3 linked regions of the Notamacropus eugenii genome follow. The protein of the gene in region 1 interacts with the protein of each later gene in a biochemical or structural test. Links are inferred from orthologs where the notes say so. Each region holds a gene or a part of one and is shown on either strand. Other genes may lie near its edges. The genes, in order: RAD51, RAD54B and FBH1.

Region 1 (3,600 bases):
CTTGACTATCCTGAAGCTTCCTGGCTGGAGCACTCCTGTCTAAGCGGGAAAGTCTCTGAAAGCTGTGCTTGCCTTGCTTAGCTCCTCTGGCCTCAGTGCCTATGGTCTTCTGGGTATTCTTTTTTTGCCACCCAAGGCTGGATGAAGGAACTTACTTGATTTTTCTGTTTCTTAATCATAATTTGGCTTGGTGCTTTTGTTTTATCTTTTCTGGAGTACATATGAGGGAACTGGGCTGCTCTGCCACCTTGACTGGAAGTCTACTTATTTCAGTGAAACTGGACTGCTCTCCAATGACAATCCCTGTGCCTTTGATCAATGGCCCTCAGCATCTGGAATGCATCTCCTTCTCCCCATTCTCCACCTGTTGCAATATCTCACCACCCCTCAGTAATCTCTCCATCCTTGGACCGTTTGCTTCACACTTCTATTATGCACTTATATTTCCAGTTTGTATTGTAGTCATCTGAACATTGGTCTTGTTTTCCTAACTAGATTATAACCCTAAGGGCAAGGGCTTTTTTTTCATCTTTGTATACCTGCCATTGTTTAGCCCCAAAGCAGAAAGGAGGGAGGGAATAAGCAATTATATATCACCTGCTATGCTCCAGACACTGTACTAAGAGTGTTTTACAATGATCTTCACAACAACCCTGCAAGAAAGGTGTTGTTATTATCCCCATTTTACAGTCGAGGAGACTGAGGCAAACAGAGAGTAAGAGTCTTGCCCAGGGTCACATGGTGTCTGAAACTGAATTCATGCCCAGGGTTCCCTTGACTGTGCCACAGTCACTCAGTTACCACTGGTTGAATTGAACTTATCCTCAGATAAGTCAAACTTCAGGGTGTCAATGAGACATCCAATTCAAAATGTCCGTTACGCAATTGATAAAGTAGCTCAGGAAAGAGGCTGGTATTGGAGTTATCTGAGTTATCTGAACAGTGATGGTAATTAAATCCATGGGAATTGATGAGGTTTCCAAGAGGAAGAGTCTAGAGGAAGAACCTAGTTGGGGAACATGTGGTCAGTCAGTCAACACACATTTATTAAAGACCTACTATGTGCGCAACATTCCTCTAAGCGCTGCAGATCCAAAGAAAAGCAAAAACCAACCAGACAAACAAAATCAATCCCTGCTCTCGAGGCATACATAATATGGGTGATGAACCAGCAAAGGAGACAAATGACAGCAATCAGACAGGTAGGAGAACAAGGTGGTGCCATGGAAGGACAGCGTATCTAGCAGGAGAGGGTGGTCAGTAATGATGAATGCAGCATAGAGATTGAGAAGGATTAGAACTGAGAAATGACCAGATTCAACAATTAAGGAATCATTAGTAACTTTGGAGAGAGTAGATTCAGTGGAGTGGCAGGTTAGAAACACTATAAGAAACTTACATGTTCCCTTACTTTGGAAGCTCTTTACCAGCACGTGATCCTTGAACAAGTTCCTCACCTTCTGGTGGAACTTTTTCTGAAGCAAGTGAAATGTACAAAAACTTGAAATAGACGTAAGAGAAGAAACAAAAGGCGTCAGAGAAATTGTAAAAAGAAGAGATCTATTCTTAGTTTATAGTCAGGGACAGTTGGAACTGACAGTAACAGTTAGAATGTTCCACTGAGATTGGGTCTAACTGCTTTTAAACCCTTCCAAGACCTGAAAGGCTAAGCACCACATAGAAGGCTCATCCTTTCACCCAAAAGGCTGTCCTGCAGGGAAGCAGTGTGGTGGGGTAGTTAAAAAGTCAAGACCCCTTAAGGTCTTCTTTCACGTCGGGCAAGTCACTTTCCATCTGTTATAAATATCCTGCCAGTGCTGAGAAAATGGAGATCAGTCCTAGAGCATTTGAAAAGTCTTGAAAGCAAAGCACAGAAAAGCATAAAGATGGCTTCTTGGATGCCAGACAGGCTGCTCAGCTCTCACATATCCCAGCAAAACCGTGAAGTTTGCACTGTGTGGAATCCAGGTCAATAAATCAAATGAAAAATTCAAGTAACTACTTCTACCCCGGAACTACATAAGAGATCAGCCAGAAGTAGGAGGACGATAGAAATGGAGTCTGCCAGCAAAGCCAGTGGCAGCCCAGGACAGCCTCTCATTTCTCTCTCGCTTCAATTTCTGACCCTCCAGACTTTACTATTATATTTCAGGGACCTTCTCACCTTGGGTTCCTTCCACCCTTGTGGCCTTCTTAACCTGGAAGATCCCGTTCCCTCTCAGAACTCCTCCCCAGGCCAACCATGCCTTCATTCCCCTTCTGGTTCTGTTTCTTTAGACTTTGCCACCGTGCCTCTAAGAAGGTATCTCTCCCACTTTCCCATCCCGTGCTTTTCAGTTCCCTTTTATGTGCTGTCTTCCTTCATTATAATGAAAGTCTCTAGAGGGCGAAGACTCTTCTTTTTGCTTGTTTTTATCCCTCACTCCTGGCAAAAGTGCATAGTAGGCACTTAGTAAAGCTTGATGACTTAACACTAAAGACTGGACAGAGATATGTACAGCTTGCAAGGCTCTGTGTTCAGAGGCAGTAAGGGAGAACTCTACAAAAAAGACCCAGGTTGGTCAGGAAACCAACAGTGATACCCTGGGAAGCAGCAGTGGGCAGCTACCAGGGTGGCACCGTAGCTTTCATAATGGAACACCCCAGGCTCAGAGGCTCTGAGGTGCCAGAAAGGGCCCTGAAGATACAGCAGTCTGAACTTCAAAGATCCAAGGGATTGTAATCCCTGGAGGTGGAGGTAAGTGTAGGAACCCAGGGGACTCAGGGCAAGGTCAAGCAGGGTCAATCATCCGGACCAAAACTTGAACAGGAGGTGGAGCCTGGCCTTGGCACAAAGCCTCAGTTCAGGAACCAAAGATGAATAAATCAATGAAAACACCAATCAATATTAAAAAATTACAAATCTGGAGATATACTAAAATGCAACAATTACAAAAGTTATTGTTCAGTGGTGTCTGACTCTGTGACCCCATTTGGGATTTTCTTGGTAAAGATACTGGAGTGGTTTACCATTTCCTTCTCCAGATCATTTTACAAATGTGGAAACCAAGACAAACAGGGTTAAGTGACTTATCCAGGGTTTCATAACTAGTAAGTGTCTGCAGACAGATTTGAATTCTGAGGATGAATCTTTCTGACTCCAGGCCCAGCACTGTATCCACTGTCCCAATTACAAGAGGCTCAAAAGAAAAAATGGATTTTCCACAAAAATTACATGAATACCTAAAGGAAATTAAACAAGAAATATGAAATAAAAGCTTTTGAGAAAAGAACTGGGAGAATAAGTAGCTTAGAAGAGAGTAAATCTTAGTTTAAAAAGTCAAGAAATAGAATCTATGAAAACTAGATCAAAAAGATATCAATGACTCCATTAGACATCAAGAAATCTTCACAAAATCAAAAGATTTTGTAAAAGAAAATGTAAGATATCTGATATTTAAAATAGGTCAAGGCAGGATAATTTAAGACTCTTAAAAACCATGATTAAAAAAAATTCCATGGATACTATATTTCAAGAAATCATAAATGAAAAGTGCTCAGATCTTTTAGAATCATTTATCATCTCCTGACAGGTATTCCCAAGGGAAAAGCAAAAGATTG
Region 2 (10,997 bases), on another chromosome or scaffold:
CTTGATTAGCCTCTGCACTAATCCCCTAACACAAGGTCCAATGCAGCACCCTACTGCAGTTAAGACTCCAGTCACTACCATTAGGGATGTGATAATAGATTCTGCCATTCCTTTCCATTTGCCAAAACAAGATTCCAGCCACCCGGCAATAGGATTGTTAATACCTGAGCTCTGAGCTAACTCTTCAGATAGGGTAGAGTTTTGGTTATGGTTCCATTGGGTGCTATATTATTAGGAATAAAGGTACAACAAATTCCCATCATTTTACACACTCATCCTTTTTCAGCTAATATTATATCAAAGGCCATCCTGTTTTCCTAGGCAATCCTACTAGTTGCATCCAATTGCCCTGCTATTTCCCTTACTGCATCTCTAGCTTAGTTTATAAATCTCTGCTGGTTATAATATATGTAGTTTATTCAATTTACATTCCTGTTAATAGTGACCCACCAAAACAAAAAGGACTCACATCCAGAAGCTACCTGATTCCTGTCTTTGAACTCATCAGGCACCCCTCGAGGGACTCCTGTTCCTGAGGGATTTCTACTGTCTAGATATATCCTTTCATCAAATTACCTATGTGGAGTATCAGATGGGTCTCTTTTCTTCCTGGTTGTAGCTTCAGGGTGCCCATTCTGAGCCTGAGATATGAATGCTAGGATGAATGGGATGGCCAATTGGACAAGTGCACAAGTTCCTGCCCAATTCTCAGGAAGGGTTGATCTGAAAGTTTTACCACCAAAGGTCCACATGGGGGAATATTTATATGAGGGAAATTGCCTGTACTATCCTTTGTAACATTCCAAACCCTGATGCATGATGTCATGTTTCCCAGATTCTGGAGATTCTCCCCCTTTCATGAGACAAGCAGAGTGGTTTCCAAGTCTGGGGAGGGAAGTAGGGATGGCTTTAGTACTGCCCCGCTTCACAAGAGGAAAAAAGTAGGACAACGTTCTATAATTTTCTCTCGGTGTGCTATTTTAAAATAGCCATATCATACATTAAACTCAGCCTCATGTTCTTCCACTTCCAAAGGAAAGGGCACTCATTAACTGTGCAGTGGGTCTGCCCATGGCACGAACATAACAGTTGCCCTTGTTTAGGCTCTTAACAGTATACTTTACTCATTCCATCCAAGCATTAGTATCCCCAAGTCCTGTTTCTATCTCTGTAGTTTGCTTCAGATCTTTCACCTCAATGATCTTTACTACTGCAGGGTCATTCCAGTAGAGACTGGGACTTACCTCACCCTCTGAGCTGGTCACATTTGGGCTGGGGGAAAAGTGGGGGGGTTGGCTTTGCCTCTTTCCTTATGTCCTTAACTATTATCCTAAATCTCCCCACTGGGTCCTTCCCAGTGACATCCAACCCCAATCCATAGGAGAGGTTTACTTTAGAACATCTGCACTGGTGATGATCAAGATTAGGGGGTTACATTTCATATTCCCACAATTAGGAATAAAGGTACAACAATTCCCTCCTATCATTTTACACACTCATCCTTTTTCAGCTAATATTATACAAAGGCCATCCTATTTTCCCAGGCAATTCGACTAGTTGCATCCAATTGCCCTGCTATTCCCCTTACTGCAATCCCACAAAGGGATCCTGGGTCTGGACCACTGAGAAAGCTAACCTTATCTTGTACTGCCCTATCTGCAGTGGGGAAGGTCCACCCATTGAATTGGGTAGTGATCCAGACCTGATTCCATGTATGGCATGTTCCCCTATTAAAGCTTAAGTGGGTTTCTGGGCATACATACTTAGCACAATAGGTCAGCCTCCTTTGATTTTCCACATATCCAAATTCAATTATTTGGCAGGCATCAAATCAGACAGTTTGAGGAGTTTCCTTCTTTAGGACCTCAATTTGGAGATTAATTGGATAACCCCTATCCCCTTTCCACCATTCTACTGGTGTCCACATCTCTGCTATTGACTCACAGTTCTTGTTAACCCATCCTAGCCCCATTGCTGTGATCAAATCTAAAATTATGGGTGTCTATCTCCCCTCCTTTCTCAGCCTTCCTCTTATCTTCTCAGGAAAAATACAACTTATAAATAATAATTCCAGCAATATTAGCAGTACTATCACTAATACCACTTCTGTCATACGAAAGGAGTACACTTCTTGGGGTCCCTACAGACCCAAAAATCAACAATTATCACCCAAATCACAAATAATGCCCCAATCTCAAAGATTACTCATCCAAATTCATCAATCAATTCTTTTTCAAGGTTAATTTCAATGGTGACATTTGTGGCTCTACCCTCCACTGGTTGGGTAGTGGAGCAGTAGGTGTGGTTGGTGGCTCTCCCTTGAATCCTTTGACTCAAGTATAATGTGTCCACCCTTTTTCAGCTATCCCAACCACGGTTTTAGTAGTCAGACTGATATTCTATAATATTTCTATAAAATTTAGGCAATTATGTTCCAAGTTTTCGCCACCATCTGTTTTTCCTTTTGACAAGAAGGAGGCTGAGTTTAAGCAAGATTCAGTGGTCAGAATTAAATCGTCCTTTTCCATCAATATAGCCTCATATTTCAAGATCCTAGAATCTGTGAGCCATCTTTCCAGCCTGCTGATTGAGAATAGTTCTTATATGATGCAGAGTGTTTACTATCAAGGCCCATCTGTCATAAAGACCCCAGACTCAATTCTAAAGTTGGAGTTTCATGCAGTTTATTTGAGAGGCTAAGGGCTATTCCTTCGGTTCTCCAGAAAAGCAAGTACACCTCCTCAGGAAGGGAGAATGTACTGAATACAGAAGTAAAAGCAAGCTTTACAGGGTTAGTAGCTGCAACTCCTCCCTTCTAGATGAGGATTAGTCCTGGTCCTTCTGGGTCACAGTCTTCTTTATACGTCCATTTCATGTAACTCCTTAGTATGTCCCCCCTTCCTAATCATGCAATGCACAGTCACTTAATGAGGTCCTAATCATATGCGAGGCGGGTAAGATAATATGCATAAGGTTCATTGAGCATGTACAGTAGCTAGTAGTTACTGACCGGAGTTTAACCCTGGCTGGTTTGAGCCAGTTTGGCTAGGGCCCCTGAGTTTATGGTTTCTGGGCCCCCTTTCATTCATTGTTGATTGATCAGGACCTTTATCTTGTCTTAGCAATTTTTCATCTATCGTCAGGCTGAAGGGCCATCTGATTTGGACTGTGTGAAAACTTAACCTATAGAATTATATATACTTATTACTTACACCTTTAAAACTTGACTTTCTACACCTGTACATACTCCAGCCATCCTCAGGATACTGGATCCAACATTTTGGATAAAAACGCTACTGGTCTTCATTGGCCTCCCCAATTCTGAGTCAAAACTCCTAGAGCAACACTCTGATCTACAGTAACAAATAAATGGAAAGGCTTTTCTAGAGAGGGCAGGGCCAACACTGAAGCTTTAATCAAATCTTGTTTCAATTCCTCAAATAACCTGTTCTCTTCAGTAGTCCATTTTATTGTGTCTGGTTCCTCAGTGAGTAGCTTTAAATATAAGCTTTTAGTTATCTGTGCATAAGAATCAATCCATAGCCTACAACACCAATCAAACTCAGAAACTTTCTTAATTCCCTCAGTTCTAGGTAGAGATATTCTTTCTATTCCTTCTGGATTGATTTTTCTTTGTCCCTCACTGATTAGGTGCCCCAGATATTTCACCTGTCTTTTTGCAAAATGCAGTTTAGTTTTAGATACCCTCGATCCTTATTCTGCTAAAAAGTTCAGCAACTCAAATGGCCTCTGCCACTCCTTTCCTCTTTTTTCCTGATATTAGCAAATCATCCACATATTGTATTAATGTTGTCCCTTAGAGGTGCAGGATGTTATCTAACACCTGTTCCAATACCTGACCGAATAAATTTGGGGATCCTATGAATCCCTCAGGAAGTATAGTCCATCTATACTGTAGTTTCCTACCTGTGGAGGGATTTTCCCATTCAAATGAAAACAAGTACCTACTTTCTTTAGTTAGTGGGCAGGCCCAGAGGGCCTCCTTCAGATCTACTACACTGAACCACTTGTGTTCACAGGGAATTCTACTTAACAGGGTATAAGGGTTCAGAACTACAGGATGTCTGATCATCACAATTTTGTTTAGGGCTCTCAGATACTGAGCCATTTTGTACATTCCAACCATCTTTCTGACAAGAACAGGGTTGTTAAAAGCAGGACATGCAAGGTTCTCCGAGTCCATCTTTTACCAAATTTTCCAAAACTGGCTGGAGTCATCTCTTTCCTTCCATTGGGATGGAATATTGTCTCACTCGTAATGCTTCTTCATTCTTTAGTGTGATCTTCACAGGCTCAATCTGCAATCTCCATCTGTTTCCTTCCTTAGCCCACACTATTGGGTCAATAGTCCTCTCATCTTCTTTTAGTATTGACATCCCAATTATTATTTGCTCATTCTTATCTGTTTTCAAGACTAATTGTATAATTATATATCTCCCTAACAGGTTGGTTCCCACCTCAAGGATATAGAGAAGACTCTCTGTGACCTGCCTCTGTCCTAACATTAAACTGACTGGTTCAAATATGGGTACTGAAAATACCCCTCTCTTAACCCCAGAAACAGTTAGATTCTGATCTGAGAATTTGATATCTGTTGGTTTGAAATTCAATGAGGACCAAGCGGCCCCCATATCTAACAAGAACACCACATCCTCTTCTCTGGGTCCCACCTTGATGTTTGTCAGGGGTTCCAAGTGGAACCTAATATAAGAAAACCCCTGACTCCCCTGATCTTCCTCAAAATTCATCAGGGGAATAATCCTTTCTTCCTTCTCCAGAATGGGACATTCTTTCTTAAAATGTCACTGTTTCCCACAATGGAAAGATCCAGTCTGCTGGACAGGGTGAAAAGTCCCTCTATGGCCCCTTCCTCCTCCATAACTCCTTTGTTTCTCAGCCCCCCAGTTTCCACCTTTACAATTATATCCTCCTTGTTCATGCTTTTTCTTCATTATCTCATTCACAGTAGTTACCATAATTCTAGCTTTCTGTTTTTGCTTTTCTTTCTCTCTTTTCACAAACACTTTCTGTGCTTCCAACAATAGTTCCTCCAATGGCTTCTCACTCTAGCCCTTTATCTTTTGTACTGTCTTTCTTATATCAGGTCATGCCTTAGCCACAAAATGCACTTTCAATAATCCTTTTGCCATTGAGGGGTCAGGGTCCATTCCCAAGTATTTCCTCATCTGATCTCTCAGCCTCTTCAAAAAGGCTGAGGGTTTTTCTTCTTTGGTTTGCTTTATCTCAAAGGCTTTAAAGAAGTTTTATGATGTAGGGGCAGCTTCCTTTATGCCCTTAATTATCATGTCCCTCAGATCTCTCATCATTACTTTATCAGCCACTCTACTGTTATCCCAATTTGGGTCTATATTGGGAAATTTCTGCTCTACAGCCATACTCCCAGTCCTAGAGGGTGTTGCTTCTCCCATTCTTGAATGGCTGCTCTTCTAATAATACTTCTTTCTTCCCCTTAAAATAATATGTTCATTATACACATCATTTCCAGCCAAGTGTAAAAATTAAGTCCTAAGAACTGGTCTAATTGTTCAACTAACCCTATTGGGTACTCAATTAGAGATTTCATTCCCTTTTTAAAATTTTGGACCTCAGTACCTGTGAGAGGTGCATTTACAAGTCCAATCTCACCTCACCCCATTGGCACTTCTTTTAATAGGTACATTGGTTCCCTCACTTCCTCTCTCCCTTCGGATTTCAGGGAATGGGAGATTCTGTACATCCTTTTTGCATTGCTCTAGTTCTTTCCTCAATCTAGCATATCAAAAAACATCCAGCTTTGGTGGGAACACACCGGACTTTTTTCCTGGCTCTTCTTGTTCCTTACACCCTGGACTTTTACATAGGTCACTTAAATCTATCCTGGCAATTCTCCCAAAGGAGGAGTCTGACAGGAGCAATTAAGCGGGAGAAAGGGACTTCAAGGAATTCCAAGGGTCCCTTTCCCTCATGTATGTTTTAGCACTACCCTGGTTCTCTAATTGGAGCGGGAACAATTGGTTGTCAAACTCCCTCTCCAAAGTAACCTGACTCTTCTTTGGAGAAGGATTATTTATCATTTATTTATCATTAACAAAAACATTCAGAGCCTGACACAGCCATTCTTCAACAGCCCCATATTTGGGCCAACATATGGCCAGTGATATAATACTCTGCTTTGGCCACTCAAACTAACAATACCTGATCATTTTGTTTTTATCTCTATCTTTGGCCTCTGACATATTCTTCCAATATTTTAGCTTTCTCTCCAAAGGATTATCTGGAGGAATGCTAATGCTCACAGAAGAATTCACTTCCTTTCTATGAGGGGAATCCTCCCCTTTTGGTGCCTTACTTCCTTTATTCCCCATTCTACCCTCCCTCTGAGACTTCAGACTGACCATTGAACTCCCCCGTTTCACCCCTTTTGGTGTTTCCCTTGTAGGACAGAACAACAGATCTAGGCTTCACACTCACTTTGTACCAATAGTCTTGGTCACACACACTCAGTCTCAGACTTATAGAATGATCCCAACCATCAAGGTAATATTTAATAGTCCAATTTTCTTACCTTGATTTGTGCACAGTTACCTGGTTGCCAGGCATGTGCCAATGATTTATCTCAGTGTTCTGGCTTCAGTTTCCCAAACAGTCTCAGGATCTTGGGCAGTCTCGAGAGCGGACCATTTGCCCATACTCTGGGCCACTGAAATCAATGAGATAATACCTCCCATTCTCCATACTGGCTCCTCCCCTCCTTGATTCCTGGATCCCAGATGAGCTCCCCAAATTGTGAGAAACATGCTTGCAAAGGAATAGGACCTTAACTAATGAAGGCAAGAAAGTGTTTTATTACATTCTTGCAAGAGCTGGTTTCCTATACATATGCACACCAAGTGCTGGGCACAGTCAGCTTTTATCCCTATTTCCAACTATGAGATCCTTTCCAAAGTCCTCCAATAGCTATGAGGTGTACACACATCATTCGTGTTTCCCTTGTCCCTCTCTCATCATGAATCACATGTATATTAAAATACACTGCTCCCACCTTGGGAGAGGATAAGGTTAATATGTATGAGCTTATTAACCACGGGTAAATGCCTTTGCCTTCTGACCTAATAATGGATCTTTGTTGCCAAACTGCACTTCTGATCTACACCAGCTAGTTTCTTGCTTATGTCCTGCTATGTTGTCTCACTCTTTCTTTCGGTGTTAGGTTCTTCTTTTATTTCTGTGAAAATATAACTATCTCTTCATTTCTCATATTCATAATCTCCTCAAACCTTATCGCATGTCAAATTTGATTCCATCAATTTCCTCAGGCTCATCCTCCCACTTCCCTCAGTTGATACTAGTCTCAAACTCCCTAGGCCCATTTTGGCTCCAACATCAGTTCCTCTTCAGCATCCAGCCTTCTTATCTTTTACAATTACTTTCCCTAGATATTTTCTGGCTATATTCCTGCCATGTTTCTGCTTCTCACTCCCCTCTCATCCCTCTCTTATTGCCTTTATTCTGGGAGTAGTAGCAAAAAAAAATCAACACTATCATTCTCTACGTACCATCTCCTTGATTTTCTAGACCACAATCCACCTCCTGGAACACTGTTTCCAAATATGTGTGGTCTTCTCTAATTTGAATCTAAATTTCTTGAGGGCCAGGAACTATCTTGTTTTTTGCACTTAGATTCTCAGGGTTAAGCACATACTAAGTGCTTAATAAATGCTTTTTCATTCGCTCATCCTGTATCCCAGATTCACTCCTACTCAGATCCCTCTACCTAGTAAATCACTTTTCTCTTCACCCATAGCACCCCCTTCTCCTAACATTCTTCCCTTCCAAATACTTTTTCACCTATATCCTCCTACCCCCAAAACCATTATGTCCTGGACTTCAAGGTGAATTGGGATCCAAGATGAAAATGGAACATAGAGTGAAAAATTCCAAAATAATACGCAGCAGGGAGTTCTAGAATAATGTGGGTATCAATATGAAGGGGTGGTGAGTACAAACCCAGTAGTTCATAGGCTCAAAAGATCATAGACATGGAGCTCAAAAGGACCTTTGAGACTATCAGTGAGACTACCTCTCATTTTCCAGTGAGGAAACTGAGAATCAAAGAGATTAAGTGATTTGCCCATGGTCATACTACTAGTTAGTATATGAGACAGGATTTGAACCTGGGTTTTTCTGAATCCAGAAGACAGCAAAAGGAAATTCAGAGACATAGGTAAACAGGACAATTTTAGAACTATAGTATTAAATTTATTATATACTTAAAAAAACCAGGCAATATATAACAGAGATTCAAGATTTCACATACTCTTATTCTTCTGTGTATGTGTAAATAATCATGCTTGCTGACATCTATCAAGTTTATAATAATTTTAAAGTTTTGTAAAAAGTTTCTTAGATTCAGTAGTAGAGCCAGCCAGCCTTTCAAGTAGCAATACACTTCAATTTGCATAACTGAATCTTGGAGAGTTTAAAAAAAATCCACTGTTAAGTTTAGGAAGGTGCCCAGATGATAGCTAAGAATGAGAATATGGTATTTATAGGTCTACCCAAATTATGAGATTAGCATATTAGGCATACAAAGCAAAAGGCTTGTGCTTCCAAATTTTGGGGGAAAACAATGTTTGGTTTTTTTTTAACGTTCACCATGATCCCTTCTTAGCTCATGCACAATGATAAATGTGTCACAAAGACAAAATGGGAAAGCAAATCTGTGGCATTACCAAGCAGCTCTCAGGTTGAGTGCTATAAATGGTTGGGGAAGAAGGAAAAAGCTAATTCTGAGAGTATTCTCAAGAGCCAAGCAAGAATAATAGTAGGTCAGAGGGAGAAGGTTATCATTACATATTTGGACCATGACTCCCTATGAATGGCCATTTTTCTCATAAGGAAAGAATAAAAGGTTTAGAAGACTCAAGGTAGAGAATAAAGAAAGGCCTAGTTTAAGTAGGTAAATATATCTATTCACAGTTGGGGACCACTTCCAGGGAAGTGAATTTAGTGAGATTCTATATATGCCCAAAAGAGAAGTAATACTAGAGTATTGCCACTGTCACTAGTAGCCTGCCATGAGCAGGATTAAGTGTATCTGAAATATGATATTAGGGTAGGGAACCTGTCATATTTCCTAAGGTCCTCTCTCAGCATTTCTCATGGGAGATTTTATGGTTCATATACTTGACCTTATCCAACAGAGCTAAAGTTTATCCCTTCTTCTGTTCTCTGTCAGCTAGAGCTCAACCAAATCAATTAAAAGAATCTTCCTGGGTATGGGAGGAAAAAATATGTCATCAACATACAACATTGAACTATTTTGGAAAACATCAGAGTTGAGAATCTGTGTATCAAAGTATGTAGAACAAAGTACTCCCCAAAGAAAGCCCTGGGAGGTCAGAAGCTAATAGGAAGGACCCCAGAATCTCTAGTCCAGGGCTGTAGTATTTAAGACTCTCCAGGACAAGTCCCTAATATTCTCATGATCCAGAACTCTGAACCTCAAAGACCTTAAGGTACCTAACCAAAGAAAATCAGTCAGCGAAAGAACCTAGGTAAAACTAAGCAGGACAGACCACACTACCCAAAAGTTCAGTAAGGGGCAGAGTCTGGTTCTGGCACAAAGCCACATTTCAGGAACTAAAGCTTGAAAGATGAGCAAACAAATATTGGAGAGGATGTGGAAAAATTGGGACACTTCACTGTTGGTGAAATAGTGAAACGATCCAACCACTTTGTTAAGCAATCTGGAACTTTGCCCAAACTATCTGTCTGTCTGTCTGTCTGTCTGTCTGTCTCTCTCTCTCTCTCTCTATCTATTTATCTATCTATATGTATATATATATATATATCATTTGATCTATCTATATCTATCTATCTATCTATCTATCTATCTATCTATATATATATCATTTGACCCAGCAATACCACTACTTGGTCTATTTCCAAAGATGATTAGGCAGAAAGGAAAAAAACCTCTGCTCTAAAATGTTTATAGAGGCTCTTTCTGTGGTGGCAAAGAAAGCGATATCCATGATTGGGGAATGACTGAATAAGTTGTGGTAGATGATTATGATGGAATATTACTGTGCTGCAAAAAATGATTAGTGCAAAGATTTTTTAGAATAACATGGAAAGACTTGCATGAAATAATGAAGTGTGAAAAGAGCAGAATCAAGAGAACAACGTATACAGTAAGAGTAATACTGTCTTAAGAACAACTTTGAGTAAATAAGTTATTTTGTCTACTATAAATAACCAAATTCACTATAAAAGACATGAAGAAAGATGCTATCTGCATGCAGAGAAAGAACTGATAAACACAAGTATAGAATAGTTTTACATATACATATAAACACCTATTTGTGTCTAATAGTAGCCATCTCTAGGGAGAGGGAGTGGGGAGGGAAGAAAAAAAGGAAAAAAAAAGACATTTACATAATAATGTTGTTGTATATTTAAAAGGAATGGCAAATTGTACATAACAGTTTGCAGTTTCATGTGCAATCATCTTTTTTATTGTACTATGTTGTAGAAATGCTTCTTTTACTCCATAAATTAAAAATAAAATAATTTTTTTAAAAGATGAGCAAGCAGAAGACACACCACTAAAAAGAATTATTATAGATGCAAAGGAGACAAAAATCAACCTAGAAGCAGAGAACAATTACTTCACAACTAAAAGCAAGGACTCAAAGAAAAAAAACTCCACATATATTACATGTAGTATAACTATCAAGAAGAGATGAAGAGATGAAAAAAAATGCAATAAAAGCTCTGAAAGAAATGAAATGGGAATAATAAACTTAGAAGACAAAGTGGCAATCCTTATCCAAGTAAGATAATCCCTGAAATGAGAACAGACCAAGGAGAAACCTGTAGAGGGCCGAGCTCTGGACTGTGGCCCCCTGGTGAGCCCGGAGACCCCGGGGGTGAGAACCCGCCTTCGGGTGCTGGGAACACCCCTTCCGGAG
Region 3 (10,997 bases), on another chromosome or scaffold:
GACAAAAGAAATATTCAATAAAATCAGCAAACTTGTCCATTCAGCCCTGAGCTACAAAAGAAGATTCTATGAGTATTCTGATTGTGTGTGCACCAGAGCAGCATGAAGATACTGTGATATCTAGAAAGGCCTAAAGTCAATGGCATCTCAACCCAAACCTGCTGGAATCACAGTAAGGGTTAATGTCAACTCCTACTAGGTGACTGTTAAAAGAGAATGGCAGAGGTACTCATAATGACCTAGCATGTAGTAGGCACTTGTGTTTATTGACTGACATGCAATATGAGGCCCTTAAAAGTACTGTAATCTTGGCCTTCAATATTCTGTTGGACCCTGTCAGGGTCACACCAGGGGGCAAAGCCAACTCTTGGTAGAAGTATATAAAAAAGGAAATCATCAGTAGTTCTATATGTTACCAACCAAGTACAGCAGCAAGAGCTAAAAGGAGAAATTCCATTTAGAATAATTGTAGGGGAGTCTATCTGCCAAGAAAAACCTAGAAATTATATGAATACAATTACAAAACACTTTTTATACAAATAAAGTTAGATCTAAATACCTGGAGAAATATTAATTGCTCATGGGTAGGCCAAGAAAATACAATAAAAATGACAATTCTACCTAAATTAACTGACTTAATATCATATATTAATATAACTAATTACAAAAAAAAATTTTATACAGCTGCAAAAAAAAGTAATAAAATTCATCTATTAAGAACAAAATATCAAGAATATCAAGGGAATCAATGAAAGAAATGTGAAAGAAAGTGGTGTAGCCAAACTGTAATACAAAGAGGCAATCTTCAAAATAATCTTGTCCTGGCTAAGAAATAGAGCAGTGGATTAGTGGAATAGATCAGACATACGATAAATGACCATAATAATCTAATGTTTGAAAAACCCAAAGATCCAAGATTTTGGGGACAAGAACTCACTATTTGACAAAAACTGCTAGGAAAACTGGAAAGCAGTTTGCCAGAAACTAGATACACCCTAACATTTTATATCATATACCAAGATAAATTCAAAATGACTACATGATTTCAACATATAGTAAAGGTTCATGGAAATAGTTTGCCTGGCATATCTATGGATTAGGAAAGATTTATGACCAAACAAAAGTTAGAGAGCATTACAATATGTAAAATAAATAATTTAGATTATATTAAATTTTAAAAGTTTTGCGCAAACAAAACCAATGCAGCCAAAGTTAGAGAACAGAAAATTGAGGAAAAAAATTTTACAGCCAAGTTTTTCTGATAGAGGCCTCATTTCTCAAATATCTACAGAACTGGGTCAAATTTATAATGTGTGTCATTTCTCCAATTGCTAAACAGTCAAAGGATATGAACAGGAAGTTTTCAGAAGAAATTAAAGCTTATGTATAGCAATATGAAAAAAATACTCTAAATCACTATTAATTAGAAAAATATAAAATAAAACAACAGTGTGGGACCATCTCACATCTATCAGACTGGCTAAAATGATAAAAAAGTAAAATGACAAATGTCGGAGGGGATATGGAGAGCAATTTGGAACCATGCCCAAAGTGCTATAAAACTGCATACCCTTTTCCCCAGCTATATGCCACTACTAGGTCAGTATCCCACAGATCAAAGAAAAATGAAAAGGACCTATATTTACATATTTATAATAGCTCTTCTTGTGGTAACAAAGAATTGGAAATTGATGGGATGTCCATCAATAGGGGAATGGCTAAACAAGTTGTGTTATATGATTTTGATAGAATGTTATGGTATAACAAATGATTAGTGGGAAGTAAGATTTATGCAGTCTTATGAACTGATGCAAAGTGAAGTGATTAGAACCAGAACACTACATAGTAACTGCTGTACTGTAGGATGAGCAACTGTATATGACTTAGTTCTTCTCAGCAATTCAATAATCAAAGACAATTTTAAAGGATTCATGATGAAAAACGCTATGTACCTCCAGAGAAAGAATTGATGGAGTCTGAATGCACATCAAAGCATGCTTTTTTAAATTTTATTTTTCTTGGGCTTTTTGGTCTTTTTTCTTTTGCAACATAGGTAACATGGAAATGCTTTGTATGACTGCCACATGTATACTTCAGTCATTTCAGTGGTGTCCAACTCTTTGTGACCTTGTTTAGGGTCCTCCTGGCAAAGATATTGCAGTGGTTTACCATTTCCAAGTCCAGTTCATTTTACAGATGTGAAAACTAAGGCAAACAAGGTCAAGTGACTTACCCAGGGTCATAAAGACACATATTGTCTGAAGCCAGGTTTGAACTCATGTCCTCCTGACTGGCACTCTAGAGATGACACTCTATCACTGGGCCACCTAGCTGCTACTGCACATGTACAATCTTTATTAAATTGCTTGTTTTCTCAAGATGGGAGGAAGGGGAAAGAGAATTTGGGACTCAAAATTTTAAAAAATTTATGTTAAAAATTGTTCTAACATGTAACTGAGGAAAATTTTTTTAAAAGAACAAAATATACTTTTAAGAGAATGTTCAAAATTCCTTCATGAACCCAGTATACAATTTACTGTTCTTGGCCATACCCCATGCTTTCCTGCCTTTGATTATCCTATTTCCTAGAATGGTATGCCTTCCTCCCCACTTACTCCCCTGAAAAAAAAAAACAACTCAACTTAGGCTTTCAAATTCCCAGCCTAACCTTCAAGACCCAACTCAAACTTGACTAACATGAATCATCCCTTCCCTGAACCCATAAGCAAAAATCAATTTCTCCCTCACATAATTTCCAAAGCATTTTGTACTTTTTACTTAACTTTCAAATTCTACCTTCCATTAGTTATTTGTATACATGTCATTTTTTAAACCAGATTTCAAACTACTTGAAGGCACGATCTGTATAGAATAATAAAGTTTTAAAATGTTAAAATTGGAATGGACTTTAAAAGATCAATTTTAAATCCTTTTATTTATATATAAGAAAAATGTGTCCCAAAGCAATTAAGTGACATAACAATGTCACCTGGCCAGTAAGTGTCAGATACAGATCTAGTATGCAGATTTTCATGCCCCTTTGTTCAGAGTTTCACCATGTTCTGTTTTATTAGTAGTGGCGAACCTGACATGGTGGATCAGTTAGTTTCAATGCCAAGAAGTCAAGTCTCATCATTGCCACACGCTGGTCATATAGCTTTAAGTATGTCATTTATCCTTTTGGTATTCTGGGCAATTCTCTAAGACTCTAAGTTGCAGAGACTGTATTGGTAGATGTTTTCTCATCTGGGAATTCCTAGTATCAATGAAATCACAAGTCTAGTCCTTAATTCCCTATCCCAATGTTACTGCTAGCAATAATAACACTACTTCACATTTATATGGCATTTTAAAGTTTTATCATCTTTGCATCTCTCCTAGTGCTGAGAAGAGTACTCATAGCTGATGCTCAAAAAATATTTATTAAATTGACACAATTAACATATTTGGATAAATTAATTTAACAGATTAGCTAGTTGTCCTAGAAAGCAGAAAACAGTTCATTAAGGAGGATATATACACAAGTCAATAAAATTTTGATGGGAGAAGAAAGGGATGGGGGTTTGAATCTAGAGTACAAGGAAATACTGCTCAAGGACCAGGTCCAGATCAGATGTCAGAAGGTGGGACTTCTAAGTATTATGAAGAAACAACACGTGAGGATGGAGACTATTGAAAAACTTTATGAAAATTCTGTGGCAATGGAAGAACTAGACTGGGAGGATGGAGTCCCAACTCTGTCACTGCGATCTTAGTCAAGTCATCTCCCCTCTGAGTTTCTTTGTCTACAAAATTCCAAAATTAGATTGCTGTTGTTCAGTTATTTCTGACTTTCCGTGAACCTATTTGGGGTTTTCTTGGCAAAGATACTGCAAAGGTTCTCCAGCTGATTTCATGAATCAGGAATTTCAGCCAACAAAGCTCAGTGACTTGCCTAGGGTCACAAAGCTAGTATCTGAAGCCAAATTTGAAGTTAGGAAGATGCCCAAAAAATTAGATTAGATGATCTCAAAAGTCTCATTCAAAAAATCCTTATGATTACCAACTTTACAGTGACTCTTTAAAATGGCAGCAATAGTAATAACCTATTTACTTACATACGTACTATCCTGTTTGCTCCTCATAAATTTGTGAAGTAAACAGGGCAGGCTATAATTTTCTCCTTTTCTACACATAGTCTAAGACAGAAGTAAATACCACGGTGACACAGCTAGTTGTCGGTGCAGCCTAGCTCTCCTAGAGCAGTCCTTTCATTGCTCCTACACCAGCTCTCCCTCAATTATCCCCTCTACACAGATGATAGTTAGCGTTTACATAGTACTTTAAGAGTTCTACATGTTATTTCGTGTGACCCTCACAAACACCCTGTAAGGCTGGGGCAATTATCTTCATTTTACAGATGAGAAAACTAAGGCTCAAATGAAGTGACTTGATCAGGGTCACAAAGCTTATAAATTATCTGAGGTGCAATTTGAATTCAGATCTTCCCTGCTCCAAATCCAGGATTCATATTCTCTTTACCACCTAGCAATGATTCCTGAATCTACTTCATCCAGCCACAGTTTCTCTTCTCCTGAGCATTATCAGCCCTCCCTCACTCAAAACAAAGTCATGTGCAAGTCATGTCATTATTTCTCTGACGGCATGGTCTTCTTCGGCAACAAAGGACAAATACACATCAACTACCTACTGGACATTTTGAACTAGATGTTTCATAGGAATAATGAACTCAGCATATGTAAAAGAGAACTCAGTATCTTACCCCTCCCTCCTAAACTCATCCTTCTTAAAAACTTCCAATTCCTGTGGAGGGCTCTATCACCATTACACCACCTAGGTTTCCCTCACTTCCTCAACCCATGTAGCTCAATCAGTTGTCAAATCTTCTATCTCCACAATACCTCCTGGAAAAGTCCCTAATTTTCTACTTATACTAGCTAGACTGGCTTTTTTGTTCCAAAAAAGCACACAATTCTTCCTTTGTGCCTTTGTATTGTTTCCCATGTCTAGAATGCTCTCCTTCACTTCGAACTCTTAGTATACCTTCCTTCAAGATTCAGCTCAATTGTTACCTTCTGCACAAGGCCTTGCCTTCTGCACAAGGCCTTTCCTCTTCTCCCATCTTGGCTGCTAGTTCTTTTCCCTTCAAATATTACTTTCCTTCTACACAGGCAAAAAGCATTTATTAAGCACCTATTATGCGCCAGGCACTCTAATAAATGCTGAGGGTACCCTTGACAAGCTTACATTTTAATGAGGAAAAAACATACATAAAGGTGAATCCTAAAAAGAGGGAAGGGGAGGTACCCAATGGGGGCATGGTGGCTAAATACAGAGAAGGTGGGATGGTTGATCTGGACCTTCTCCCAAAATGGGAGTTTGAGGAAAAACTCACCTACCGGTGTATGTGTTTACGTGTGAGCGTACATGCTGTCTCTCCCATTAGAATATGGGAGAAGTAAAATATAAGAGAATGGTACATATATCTACATATACTAAAATTAGTATATACATATATGCATATATATGTATATATACACATACTTGGAACATAAGAGAATTAGAATATAAACTCCTTGAGGTCAGAGGCTGTTTTTACTTTTCTTTTGTACCCCCAGTACTTATTACAGTGCCTAGTACACAGTTACATGCTCAATACAAGCCTGTGATTGCCAGATATGACATGGAGGGCAGGACAGAAGAGAAGGTAAGATGTGATAGAAGAGACAGAAGCTTAACTAGGTAAGAATGGATGTTAACAGGCAGAGTTGGAGTTAAAGTCCTTCCTGGAAGTAGGGATTCAGAATGGTACCGAAGGTACAATGGGGAGGGGATAAGAAAAGTGAGTAAGTCCAGGAAAGGGACTATCTTGAACACCAAACCAAACTAAGTCCTGGAAAGATAAGTTTTCACCATTTAATCAGCTTCCAATGTCATGCTGAAGCATTTGTATTCTATTCTGTAAGCAATTAATGAAGGTTTTTGAAAAGGGAAGGAAGCAAAGTAGTTATGTTTTGTTTTTACTAAGATGATAAAAAGGGAAAAAAATATCCAGCCCTGGCTCACAATGTGGAAACTGCAAAACCGAACTCGGGCCTCTCCCAATCTTATTTCACCCAATCTCTATCTAATTCTGAGAAATTACTATTTGTGGAGGGTGCCTCCTGGACCACAGCAACTTACTCTCAAGTGCCTTCTCTCTCTCCCTCCCTCCCTTCCCTCCTCCTCCATCTCCATCATCTTCTCTCTCCTCATCTCCTTCCTCTCTCTCTCTCTCTCTCTCTCTCTCTCTCTCTCTCTCTCTCTCTCTCTCTCTCTCTCTCTCTCTCTCTCAATAAGAAACGGAGATGGAGAAATGGCAGCTGTGAGAAACCCCTCAGAGTAGGGAGAGCAGCAGCGCAGCCGGAAGACACCACCACAACGAAAAGGAAAGCACGGCTACTCAGACACCAGAAGATGGTGGGGTTCGGTCTCCTGGTCCATGCAGCTCCTCCCGGCTGTGTTTTTGCATTGCCAGGCACACGTCAGCCAGTCTCATCCCGCGCTGCCCTCAGTCCCGGCGGCCTCCCCACCTGCTCCTACAGCCCCGCCCAGCTGGCCATCCCCGGGGTCTCGGCCTACCAACTGGCGTTTTCCCTCCCAGCCGTGCCCCACAAGAGTCCTCCTCCCACCTCCTCCCCACCCGCTTAGTCTTTCCCCAATAGAACGAAAGCTCCTTGAGGGCAAAGATTTTTCTTTTGGCTCGAGTACGTATTCCGCGAAGTCCAGGACATTCTAAAAGCTCCGTAAAAGCTTTCCACCCCTCCACCTCTTCTCTAGTCTTCCGTAGAATCACAGAATGTTAAGAGCTGAAAGGGGCTTTCTTTCCTTTGAGATCTAATCCAAGCCCCTCATTTTACGGAGGAGGAAACAGGCCAGGGAAGGAACATGACTCTTCTAAGGTCACACAGCCCGTGGAAATAAACAAACGCATCCGTGGGATCAGAAACCGGCGGTCGTAGTTCAGCTTCTAAATCTGCCAAACAGGCGCGGGCTTGGCCATCCCCTCCACCTCTTTCCCCAGTCCCAGTCCCCGCCCGCACCCGCAAAGCACCCACTCTCACGGACTTGGGCATTTCAGTGTGGCTGCTCCCGCCGCGCAGATGCCGCCTCCTCCTCCTCTGCCAACAGCCCCGCCCCTCCCCCCCTTCCGGCCTTTTTTTCCCTTCCGGCCTTTTCCTCTTCCGGCCTTTTTTCCCCCTTCCGGCCTTTTCCCCCTTCCGCCCCTTCGATCCTTCCGCTCCTTCCGGCTTGGTCCCAAACTTCCCAAAACGCTACATCACAAAGTAGGACTCGGATTTCCTGTGACTTCCTCCCTTAAATCCCACCCCCTCATCTCCAGCCGATGCAATTACGACGACCACCACATCAAACCCATACGCGCACAACCAACAAACAAAAAACACTCCACCATGGAATTAATTGACTGCCCTCTCGACCAATAGAAATGCCGATGCAGACTGCCACCCAATGACAAGCCTCGGCTCTTCCTCTTATTTCTTATTCATTCTGATCTTAGAGACAAAAGAGAATTTTCTCGGGTTCTCTACTTTGGCGGAAGGAGGAGAACTGCTTTACAGTCTTAGACCAGGTGGATCGTAGTATCTTAGGTCTAGACCTGGAAGGGACCTCAGAGGCAAGCAACCCTCTTGTCTTACAGATGAGAAAACAAGTACAGAAAAGCTGTCACTTGCCAATGGTCAGTCAACAAGCATTTATTAAGAGCCTGCTATATGCCAGTGGTGCCAAATTCTGGGGGGGAAGGCAAAAAAGTAAAGATAAAAATAAAAAAAATCCTGGCTCTAGGGGCTCACTGACTAAAGTGATGGGGGGAGGGAGGTGTCGCTCAGCTAGTACGTGTATGAGGCAGGATTTGAAGCCAGGTATATCTGACTCCACTGAGAGCTAAGGGAGTAGATCTTACTTTTAGTGTGGGAGGGATGCTTAGAGATCATCCAATCCTTGCATTTCACAGATGAGGAAATTAGGGTTCAAAGTTGGTACCAGAAGAATGGATATCAAATTCCATTCAAAAGGAATTTAGTAAATTATTGCTTAGGATTGAGAATGCCAGACTGGCAATGAAGAAGATCTAAGTTTAAACCTTGAATCCTTTGATACATTGTTATCTGGCACTTAATGAATATCAGTAGTAGCTCCTTCTCCCGAGACCATAGAAAAATCCAAAAATACACGGCGTAAAGGCATAGAATTTTTTTTTTAATTTCCAGTTCCACATTCTCTCACTCCCTCCACCCTGTCTCCTCTCTTCCCCACCCACTGAGAAGGAAAGAAAATACGCTGCCCATTCTACACATACACTCCTAAAGTACAGAACTCTGACTCCAGTCAAGTCTGTTAGTTCCTCCCCCAGCATCATTTGCATCATCTATAAAATCAGGAGGTTGGCCTAAAAGACCTTGGAGGTCTCTTCCTCTCTCGATCTAGGATGCTACGAATTCTGTCCCATCCTTGCTCACTCCCGATGACATACACCTGTCCACGCTGATGTACTCGCACACATTCCCTGCGAGGCGTCCCTTTAATGCCATTTTAAACTTTGACACATCCCGGGAAACAGAGGCGGCTGGGAGGAGTAGGAGGAGTCTGAGCGCTCCTAGAATGAAACCCCGTTAAGTCCCAGCCCCGGCTCCCAGAAACCGCCTTCAGGGAGCGATGGTTCCGGCCAAAGTCCTGCGATAACGGGCGCAGAAGGAAGGAAGGGCCTCGAGCCCCGCGCTCCCTCCTTTCGTACTCCCTGGGCTCCGCCAGAGGACTTGCGGAGGAGGCTCGCAGGCCGCGAGGCGGCGCCTCAGGCTGGGGAGGCCGCCCGGACTCCCTCCCCTCCCCCTCCGCTAGCGCCGCGCGCCCCTGGGGAGCCTCCCACGGAGTCCAAGCGGCGGCTCTCTCATGGCCCTCCGCCGGCGCGTGGAGGAAGCCCAGCTGCAGGAACGGCTCTTCAGGCTGATCCAGGAGGGGCAGCTCAGGCCCTTGCAGGAGGAACTTGGGAGAGCGGAGCACGGCCGCAGCTGGCACGTGAAGAACGCGTGCCCGGGCAGGGGAGGTGACACCCTCCTACATTCTGCGGCCCGGCACGGGCATCGGGACATCCTAGCCTACCTGGTGGAAGCGTGGGAGCTGGACATCGAGGCCCCTAACCGGGACTACAAGCGACCGCTGCATGAGGCGGCCTCCCTGGGACACCGGGACTGTGTGCTGTACCTGCTGAAAAGAGGGGCGACTGTGGACTGCCTGAAGAAGGGGGACTGGTAGGTGAGAAGGGTCTGGAGGTGTCCGTAGGCGAAGCCCTGCCTGAAGACAGGCTATGGCTTCTGTCTCCCTGAACTGCTGGCTCATCGTTCAGTCGAGCATCCCGCCCCCAACAACCTTTTCCAAAAATGCAGTAGACAGGGCAAGTAAACGACTGCTTCTGGAGTGCCTGCTGTGCGTCTTGTGCAGGCAGAGTTAACGGAGAAGTGAAAGAAAAATGTAAAACGTTTCCCTTATCCTTAAAGAGTCCAACATCTGGCGTTCAAAGAACATAACGTAGTAGTGAGAGTAATTGACATGCCTGTAGTCCTTCATCTCCTTCACCTCTTAACAACAAGGTACCCCAGATACTTTGATAGGTACTACAAGTGTTGTTCTGTTTTACAGATGAGATCTCTGTTCAAATGCCATCTTATCAGATGATCCAGGGTAAGTCATCTAGCCTTCAGACCCCTCAGTTGCCTTATATGTAAAATGTAGATAATAATACTCGTGCTGTCTAAGTCTTCAAGTTATTGTGAGGAAAGCACATTGCAAACCTTAGAGCACTACGTGCATGTAAATTCTCGGCTTTTTTGGTTGGATAATCACCTTATTAACTGGATTTATTTTTCTAATTTACATTTTACCATTACAATTACAATTTACATTTTCTGACTTTGCCATTTTTCCCTACCAAGTTTTGTGAGACTGGTTCATTCCCCCACCCACTGTGCTGGGTCTGCAAACCTCTGTTGAGAAATCCTTGCCTTCCAGGATTATTTTTCATGTTATGAATCAGAGATATAAACAATAGACAGTTGGAATGATAAACTAAATACCAGCCCAGATCCTATAAAATGGAAGCACTCCTATAACAGAAGTGTTGAAATATTACACTAATTTTGGTAGGCATAATTTATTCTTTCCATCTCTAAATCTCTAGATTTTATGAATGAAATAGAGTGGCATAGAAAATAAAGAACTGGCCTTGGAACCATACATACTTAACTGTATGACTGAGTAAGTCCTTAAATCTTTAGGTGTTCAAGGCAACTGTCTTAGGAATATTAACTGACAAACAAAATGCTGACCTGTATAGAAGAGTATGCTAACAGGAAAAGCTACCAGAGACCCTCACCATGTGGGCTGGGCTAGTTCTTTTCCTTAAAAAGGTATTGAAACTGTCATGAAGACTTAAATGGCTTAAGGGCTAAAGGCCAAGGTTACATACCTAACTCCCTGGTCACTTAAATACAAAAATCTACAAAGACCTTCAGCCCCACTCTGATGCTAGGTCTGTTGCGGGACAAATCAACCAAAGTATCTTCTGTGCATATCCTTGTTGGATGCACTTTTTCCTGCCATGACCAAATAAACTGTCTTTTGTAACTGTTGAATGACTTACAAATGTCTCATTTTGTTCCAGTATTGGACCTAAACTATCAAGGGATTAGCCTGAGTCAGGTGAAGCCCACCACAAAGTGGCTACCTCATATCAATGAAATTACAGATCACTGTAATGCATAACATTTCAGGACAATCAAACAGTGCAACACACATTTTTAAAAAATTGCTATGTACCAGGCACTCTCTGGAGATACACACACACACACACACACACACACACACACACACACAAGAAATGATACCTTCTGTTAATGAGCTTACAGTCTGTTGAGAGAGACAACATGTAAATATCTAAATAC

The links.
Region 2: the proteins of RAD51 (region 1) and RAD54B form a complex in vitro, tested with the Homo sapiens proteins (2 studies listed by BioGRID). The link is inferred for Notamacropus eugenii from reciprocal best matches to the Homo sapiens genes RAD51 and RAD54B.
Region 3: the proteins of RAD51 (region 1) and FBH1 form a complex in vitro, tested with the Homo sapiens proteins (2 studies listed by BioGRID, with this or other methods). The link is inferred for Notamacropus eugenii from reciprocal best matches to the Homo sapiens genes RAD51 and FBH1.

Annotation. Positions count from the first base shown.
Region 1 is NC_092878.1:26,856,302-26,859,901, reverse strand, and holds the start of RAD51 (DNA repair protein RAD51 homolog 1), read right to left. Parts: upstream 2,188-3,600; 5' UTR 2,165-2,187; intron 1,617-2,164; exon of another isoform or gene 1,400-1,616; intron 1-1,399.
Region 2 is NC_092875.1:158,615,243-158,626,239, reverse strand, and holds the start of RAD54B (DNA repair and recombination protein RAD54B), read right to left. Parts: upstream 6,718-10,997; 5' UTR 6,622-6,717; coding exon 6,587-6,621; intron 1-6,586. UniProt on the Homo sapiens protein: Involved in DNA repair and mitotic recombination. May play an active role in recombination processes in concert with other members of the RAD52 epistasis group.
Region 3 is NC_092874.1:209,713,875-209,724,871, reverse strand, and holds the start of FBH1 (F-box DNA helicase 1), read right to left. Parts: upstream 7,181-10,997; 5' UTR 7,109-7,180; coding exon 7,108-7,108; exon of another isoform or gene 7,099-7,107; coding exon of another isoform or gene 7,098-7,098; intron 1-7,097. Other genes in the region: ANKRD16 (ankyrin repeat domain-containing protein 16), read left to right, coding at 8,950-9,308. UniProt on the Homo sapiens protein: 3'-5' DNA helicase and substrate-recognition component of the SCF(FBH1) E3 ubiquitin ligase complex that plays a key role in response to stalled/damaged replication forks.